2 linked regions of the Tribolium castaneum genome follow. The protein of the gene in region 2 interacts with the protein of the main gene of each other region in a pairwise test. Links are inferred from orthologs where the notes say so. Each region holds a gene or a part of one and is shown on either strand. Other genes may lie near its edges. The genes, in order: Rab35 and CenB1A.

What was found.
Region 1: the proteins of CenB1A (region 2) and Rab35 interact in a two-hybrid assay, tested with the Caenorhabditis elegans proteins (2 studies listed by BioGRID). The link is inferred for Tribolium castaneum from reciprocal best matches to the Caenorhabditis elegans genes cnt-1 and rab-35.

Annotation. Positions count from the first base shown.
Region 1 is NC_087401.1:17,021,284-17,024,193, forward strand, and holds Rab35 (ras-related protein Rab-35), read right to left. Parts: upstream 1,728-2,910; 5' UTR 1,595-1,727; coding exon 1,543-1,594; intron 1,483-1,542; coding exon 929-1,482; 3' UTR 815-928; downstream 1-814. Other genes in the region: PHD finger protein 12, read left to right, coding at 291-653; sn-1-specific diacylglycerol lipase ABHD11, read left to right, coding at 1,972-2,358, 2,399-2,628, 2,671-2,802, 2,867-2,910.
Region 2 is NC_087395.1:24,776,743-24,781,174, reverse strand, and holds the start of CenB1A (arf-GAP with coiled-coil, ANK repeat and PH domain-containing protein 2), read right to left. Parts: upstream 3,018-4,432; 5' UTR 2,763-3,017; coding exon 2,710-2,762; intron 2,665-2,709; coding exon 2,548-2,664; intron 2,501-2,547; coding exon 2,327-2,500; intron 1,172-2,326; coding exon 943-1,171; intron 892-942; coding exon 796-891; intron 750-795; coding exon 544-749; intron 492-543; coding exon 375-491; intron 328-374; coding exon 127-327; intron 1-126. Other genes in the region: coiled-coil domain-containing protein 39, read right to left, coding at 3,104-3,427, 3,476-3,586, 3,631-4,083. UniProt on the Caenorhabditis elegans protein: GTPase-activating protein for the ADP ribosylation factor family. Regulates endosome recycling downstream of rab-10 and upstream of arf-6.

The sequences.
Region 1 (2,910 bases), on a different chromosome or scaffold from region 2:
GACTCGTAGCGCTTTTAAGCACTTCATTATCTGTTACTGTACAAAATTTCGTGATAATCGAGCCAAAATTGCGCAAATAATATCCGAATAAAACAACTTGGTGAAAATTCTTACTTGCCTACCAACAATAAAAAAATCGTCAAAATTACAATAACCATAGATGTATGTTAATAGTATGGTTTTTGGACGTAAAATTGTCTGAGGATTCCAAATCTGTTTTTATTTTTGTTCTATGACTTGTAGTTTTGGAGATAAGGTGCGAAATATTTTGTCGTGTTGTAATTTTTCAGTTCACGAAAAACTTCGAGCTGATCAACTACTCGTCCCACGGTACATTTGTGAACAACGTGCTGTTTTCAAACGACACCAATACCGAACGCCCCAAACAGTGTGAAGGAAAAATCGTTCCGTTGGAAGTCCAAGTGCGTGAAATCATTGATAGAAGACGAAAAGTAGTCCGCCAACGAAAAAACTCGTTTGAAGCGAAAATGACAGCAATAGATAACATGGATACGATGGAATGTTGTTGTACAAATGTTGGTGAATCATCATCACGTATAGGATGGGAAGGATCGGCAATTTTAAACCACGGAAGTCTTTTAAGGTTCGGATGTGTCTCGTTCGTATTTTCGATCGTCGATTGTGCGGCATAAAAAACTCACTCACAACAAAGATACATTTTTACTTGATGATTTGAATACAACATACATGATACAAACATACGATCTGTACAAAAATATGAAATAAATGCAGAATTGTGGATGTTTTTTAAAAGAGAGCGCAACAAGTAAGGACTGGAAGTAAAACGGCTATAAAATAAATACAATTCTTGTTTATATTATACATTATATACAGGGTATTCAGCCGGAGTGTGGCTTTAAGGAAGCACCTTAGGAACGAACAACATGCCTTGAACACCCTCTGCCAACTAACAGCACTTTTTCTTCCCCTGTTTGTTGCTCTTCCTCAGGTTCACCGTCTCGTTCTGCGTGATGTTCTGCCGCTCTTTCATCTCCTGCTTCGACCGGAGCACCAGTCTCGTAATCGCCATGAACATCTCCTCCACATTCACATTGTCTTTGGCTGAGGTTTCAAACAGTTGAATGTTCATCGTGTCGGCGAAACGTTGCGCATCTTCAGTCAACACCACCTTCCTGTCCGGCGTATCGTTCTTATTACCCACTAAAACTCTATTAACTACATCACAATTTTGCTCGATTTCATGCAGCCATCTCTTGACGTTAGCGAACGACTCCCCGTTCGTAACGTCGTACACCACGATCACGCCATGCGTGCCCCTGTAGTAGGTGCTCGTGATCGTGCGAAAGCGCTCCTGTCCCGCCGTATCCCAGATCTGGAGCTTCACCTTCTGCCCGTCCAGACTCACAGTCTTGATCTTGAAATCCACACCGATCGTCGTTATGTAACTGCCCGAAAACGTGTTATCGGCGAAGCGCAACAACAACGAACTCTTGCCCACGCCTAAAACGGCCAGTTTTCCCTAATTAAGAGGAAAACAGCCACAACCCCGCCCACACTTACCACTATCGCCGATTATCAACAGCTTGAATAAATGGTCGTAATCGCGGGCCATTTTCGCCGATTCTGCTACAACACCGCCTCAACTAGGCTTCGATAGCATTAATTTCGCTTTATTTGACACGGAAATCATTAAAAACACCGAATTCTAATGGGATGAGTTGTGACAGGTGACGTTCGCTTTCCCCCAAACGCGCACCAATCGCACCACAAAAAAACACCAAACCGTCACTTTATTATCACTATTAATTGATCACAGTGCCAGCCAAACGGCGGCACTGAGCCCTTATCCAAGATTATGTACGAAAATCCGCCCTAATAATTAACAAAACCCTAATAAACCCAGCAATTTGGTGATTAAATTTTGGGTTGGCGGCGCTGTCGCCAAATTCAAAAATGTCAAAATTCGCCTAACCTAAAACCTGCCCGAAAATGCGGCTTTTGCGGCCTTTCCGCGCCTTGAAAGCCTTCCGGCGCCAGTTATCGACCATCGAGCCGGTGAAACTGGCGTACGCCTCTTACGAGAGCACGAATTCGCCCAGTGACCACGACCCGGCCCCCTTGATAGTCAACCATGGCCTGTTCGGCTCCAAGTCGAATTGGAACAGTTTGTGCAAAGTGTACCACAATAAGACCAACCGCAAGGTCATCGCAGTCGATGCGCGCAACCACGGCGACAGCCCCCATACGCAACAGCACACCTACGAGCACCTAGCGCTCGATTTGCGCGAGCTTTTGACGCAGCTCAAGTTCGAAAAGGCGGCCTTTTTGGGGCACTCGATGGGCGGCCGTGCTGTGATGTATTTGGCTTTGAAATACGTATGTTGTGGGTTTGTTTCGGGTGCTTAAAGGCTTGTAGCCTGAACTTGTAGATAAATTAATCGTGGCGGACATTTCCCCAGTCACCACGAGCCCCAATTTGAAGACAATGCCGGGCCTTTTTAACGTTATGCAAAATTTAAACATGCCCAAAAATGTGTCAATGTCAGTGGCGAGGTCGCAGACTGATTTACAATTGGCTAGGTTTATTGGTGATAAGGGGTTGAGGAATTTTCTGTTGACGAATTTGGTGCAGAAATTGGACGGCAGGTGAGGCAAGCAATAAATTCACAGCCAAAAAATGTGTTTTAGTTACATGTGGAGAATAAATATACCGACTTTAATGGCCAGTTTTGAAGAAATTGCCACTTTTCCCCCCATTAATAAATACAAATTTGAGGGGCCTGTCCTATTTGTAGGGGGCGGAGCGTCTGATTATATACAGTGAGTATGGTTTTGAAATTCGGTTGGCAACGCGTCAATGTTGCCAACTTGATTGTTTTGGCAGGAAAAGTGACCACGAACAGATACTGAAGTTATTCCCCAAGGCCC
Region 2 (4,432 bases):
ATGTTGTACATTTACTTAAATCTGAGTTGATTTTTATTTTTTGTTTTCAAGTTGTTCATAACGTTTTGTAAACTCAAACTTAAATAAAAAAATAAAAATTGTCCAATTCATTACTTTTCAACCTACCTTATTTTCTTAATTTTATTATTATTGTAATTGGCGACGGAATGTCCGCTTTGTTCGTCGTTAGAATGATTCGATTGCCCACTGGCATTATTACTACATTCAATACTATGTATGCGTTGAAAAGCTGCACCTATGCCCTTTTGAAGCGCAGCAATCCAAGCTTCGTACATTTCCTTAGAGTCGGCTTGGAGCATATGACTCCTAGGAAAAATATTAATTTGGAAAAAAAAACACAAAAAAACAATTACTTAGACGGTGACAAAACCTCAAAACAAAACCGCCTCTCCCCATCTAGGACCGGTTTAACGGTACAAAGACGCAAATCGTCCTCCATCACAGTCTCAGCCTCTTCACCAGATCGTTTCCTAAAAATTGTCAAACCCAAAAATCGCCAAAAAAATAAATAAAAATTAGTACCTATAAACTAATTTATTGTCATAGAGGTAAAACCAACGCCGGTTCCAAGTCTTGAAAGCATTCGAGGTCCTTTTAAACAAATAACCTTCCATCCTAGGCAAATTTTTCCCGATTTTCGGTGTAATTATTTCAATATTATTAACAGAAGCGTGTCTGTTCTCTAATTCTTTTTCAACGGTTGTGGTTTCCTCGCGCATATCGGCGATCTAAAGCGGCTAAATTAATACAAGAAGGGACATTTTTAGAAAAAACCTCATCGGCCAATTCTTTGAAAAACGGCTCCAAGTCGGCACACAGATCGGAACCTTGGTGGTAATAAGCCGTACAGGCGTGCATATATGATAACAACTAATCAAAAAAATTAATTACTAAAGAAAAAATTGACCATGTAATTAATACCGTGCTCAAAATCTCGTGCCGTTTTTTCGTCTGAAGCAAACTAATACTGTTGACGTAATCGAGGGCCTGGTGCCCGAAACAGGACCGTACCGCCAATAAAACATTCTGCATTTCCTCAACTTCCTGCTGTTTGCTTCTGGGAGTTTGCGAATTGCGCACTAAAACGTTGTCAAATTCGGAAGAGATTTTCTCAAAGTGTTGCTTATAATCGCGAACGGTTTTTATGTCACTGAAAACGATTGTTACTTTACGACGCTCTTATCAAGTCCGGATTTTAGGTTTTTACAATTATTCAAGTTTTGCGCCTGTTTTTACCTCAAACGGCTAAATTAAGCAATAAATATAACTCTGTGAAGAAATAAAATAAAAATAACAAATTAAACAAATTATTGTTGATTTTTTGTTCATTTCTTTGATAGAAATTTTAGCAAAATCTCGGAAAGGAACTGACTGTCAAAATTTCGCAATTAAAAAAAATGGTAAGAGATCTTGAAAAAAATGTCTTTTTGAATTAATTTTTGTTCCAGTTCTAGCGAAGCATTTTGCTCAAAAACCGACGTTTTTAGCTTGGAAAAGACAAAAGTATCATGTTTTCAAACTTATTCGGTAATTTTTCGTATTTTTTTAATCCGTAAAATATTTTAAAACACTCCAAAAAGACACAAATAATATCATTTTCAACCATAGAAAAAGACAATTACATGACATTTAAAAGCAACCAATTACTGTTTAATTGTTTTTTACATTGAAAAAAACATTTTCGACCTATTACGGCATTATTTTGACGCAAATTCTCAAAATAATTGCGATTTTTATTGAAAAATGTGCTAAAGTTCACAAAAATAACAAAGATAAAAGAATTAGTAATATATTTCCGCTCGTGAAAATGAATCTAATTAAAAAAAAAACTCAGTTTATTTTTTCCAAATTCCTCGAAGTAACACGTATTTTTCGACTTCATTTAATAATTTTTCAGTATATTTGTGAAAAAAAATTCCACACAATTGACTATGACAAATACTAAAACGCTCGAAAAAAGCAGAAATATACGAAATTTTTACAGAATTTAGTCTAGATGAGTTTAAGGTTCAAAAATATGCTTAGGTACTTGAAAAAAGTAAAAATAGTACCATTTTCGACCAAATTTATCTATCTTTTGACTCACTTGTGACGAAACTCTCCAAAATAATAAAGTTTTTGTCAAAAAAACATACAAAAATGCACCGAAAAAACGCATATAAAGTTTATAAACGTGATAAGAAAAAAATCATTAATTTAAATCCTTGAAACTGGATAAAAAACGCCCAGAAAAAGGCATTGCAAACCCCAAAAACTAATTAAATTCAGTGTTGCCAACCCAAAATCCGGACCCAGCACTACTAACTTTTTGATAAACGACGTGAGATTCTTAAGTATGGTTCTTGAGGCTTGGTCCAGAAGGATAGTATGGAACTTGTTCATTTCTTGCAAGCTCTGAATCAACTTATTAAGCGAGGCCAGAACAGCGGAATCCTCACGAAAATGCGCGCTCAACTCCCACAAACTGTTCGCAAACAAACTGAGAAGTGTGTAATTAAACGGCATGATTCACCAATTAACTCAAACCTTTGTTGGGCCACATATGTTTTGCCCGAATCGACCATCGTCCCACATACTTTCAGGATCTTCTCCAGCTTCTGTTCCAGCTGATCAACACTGGCCTCCTCCTCCTCCAGAAGACTCCTGCAAGCGATAATTGGTGTTTGGCGGTTTGGGGACACCACAAACCTGAACTTGGGGGAATCACGCAGGCACTCTTCCGGGTCGATTTTACCCACCATGGCCACAAACTAACTAATTAAGCGGTCATAACACTTATTTTGAGTCATCAACTCTCAGACAACCCACTTTCTTTATTATTGTGGACGTCAAACGTCAAAAGCGCGGGCTGCCAACGTGACCCCGCGAACCAGCAGCGATTTTACGCGTTTCAAAGCTTAATTCGTTGTTATCACGAGCAAACCATCTTTAGCTTGGTTTATCGGACTATAATTAGGGTAAAACGTTAACGAAAGCACACCCTTGCGGTGTTTAAGCGCGTCTGGAGTCTAGGGAGTTTCGCGTTTGGGTTGCCAGTCGGGACAAAAGTGGAGGGGAAATTCAAAATGCCACGCTCTTTGTACTATTTATTAACACTTTGGATGACTCTCGGTGCTGAGCGGCTCCGCTTCTTGACTTTCACCGACTCCGCACTGTCCAAGTCCGAGACTTGGAAGACCTCAAGTTTGGAGTCGTTGATGACCGGGAGCTGGATCTTGCGTTCGGACCTCAGACCGATTTCCTTCTCGTTTAAAATTGTCACAGTTGGAATATCGGAGCGCTTCTCCCTTTCGTAAATTTTCACGATCGTGCCCTCGCTTTTATGCCGCCGTTTCACGCTCAAATGATCGACCTGCATCTGCAGGTGCAAGTTTTCGTAAACCAGCGAGCTGTTCTGGTTCACGAGCTGCAAATGACGGGTTAGCTCGCTCAAAAATGGGCTAGTTCGACTGACTTGTAGGTACTTTTTGTTGCTTGGGGACAACGGGGCTGCGAATTTCATGTCGAGGATTTGTTTCAGTTCGGCGGTGAGGGTCTCGATTTTGGTTTTAAGGTCGCTGACTACCTGTGGCAATGTTTAATCAAGAGGAATTAACTGGGAGCTAGTACCCGTCGGTGGTTGTCTTCCGCTTTCTGGAGCAAGATCGCGAGCTGGTTTTTGGTCTCCTTCATGCGTAGGAATTTAACACTTAGATTATAGTTGGTTTGGAGCGTTTGCTCGAGCGTCTTTCGCAGCTTTTCCACTTCTTTGTGGTCGGGTGGCTCGCCCAGGGTCGAGTTACTTAGCGCCTTTTTGAGCTTTTTGAACTCGTTCATTTCGTGGCAGTAGGTTTCCTTCTCCTTGTAGTAGAAATCTCGCTCGTCTTCGAGCTGGCGCGCGAGGTTGTCGTTCGAGCGTTTCATTTTAGCGAGACTCAGCGACAGTTTTTCCTTTTCCCTTGCTAGTTTCCCCAGCTTGCCGTCCCTATTTTCCAAGTCAATTTTGAGTGTATTTAGTGCAGTTTTCAAACTATCGATTTCCTCCTTTAAAGACTCGATTTCTTTAAAAGAGTCAGGACTCATCTGGCCTTCTTTCGAAACATCACCGGATTTCTGACGATGGAAAACGCGTCTGAAAAATATTTTCATTGCACAAGGTTCGCAAATTTCGCGCTGGGGCGCCAGTACCCAAGCTTTGACCCGGAAAATTTTCTAGTTAGGGCTTTTCTCATGTAAATTTTCGGGAAACCGCACCAATACACTCATATCAGGTCAAATGGACATAGCAGTGACATTGACAATGTGGCGAAGTTCGGAAAATGCTAAGCAACTTTTGGTGGATGCGCCGGGAAAAGGTCAAAATAACGAGTTCAATTATTATTAGAAAAATTTATTTATCAAACTCCTAGGTATGCAATGTGTATGCAATATG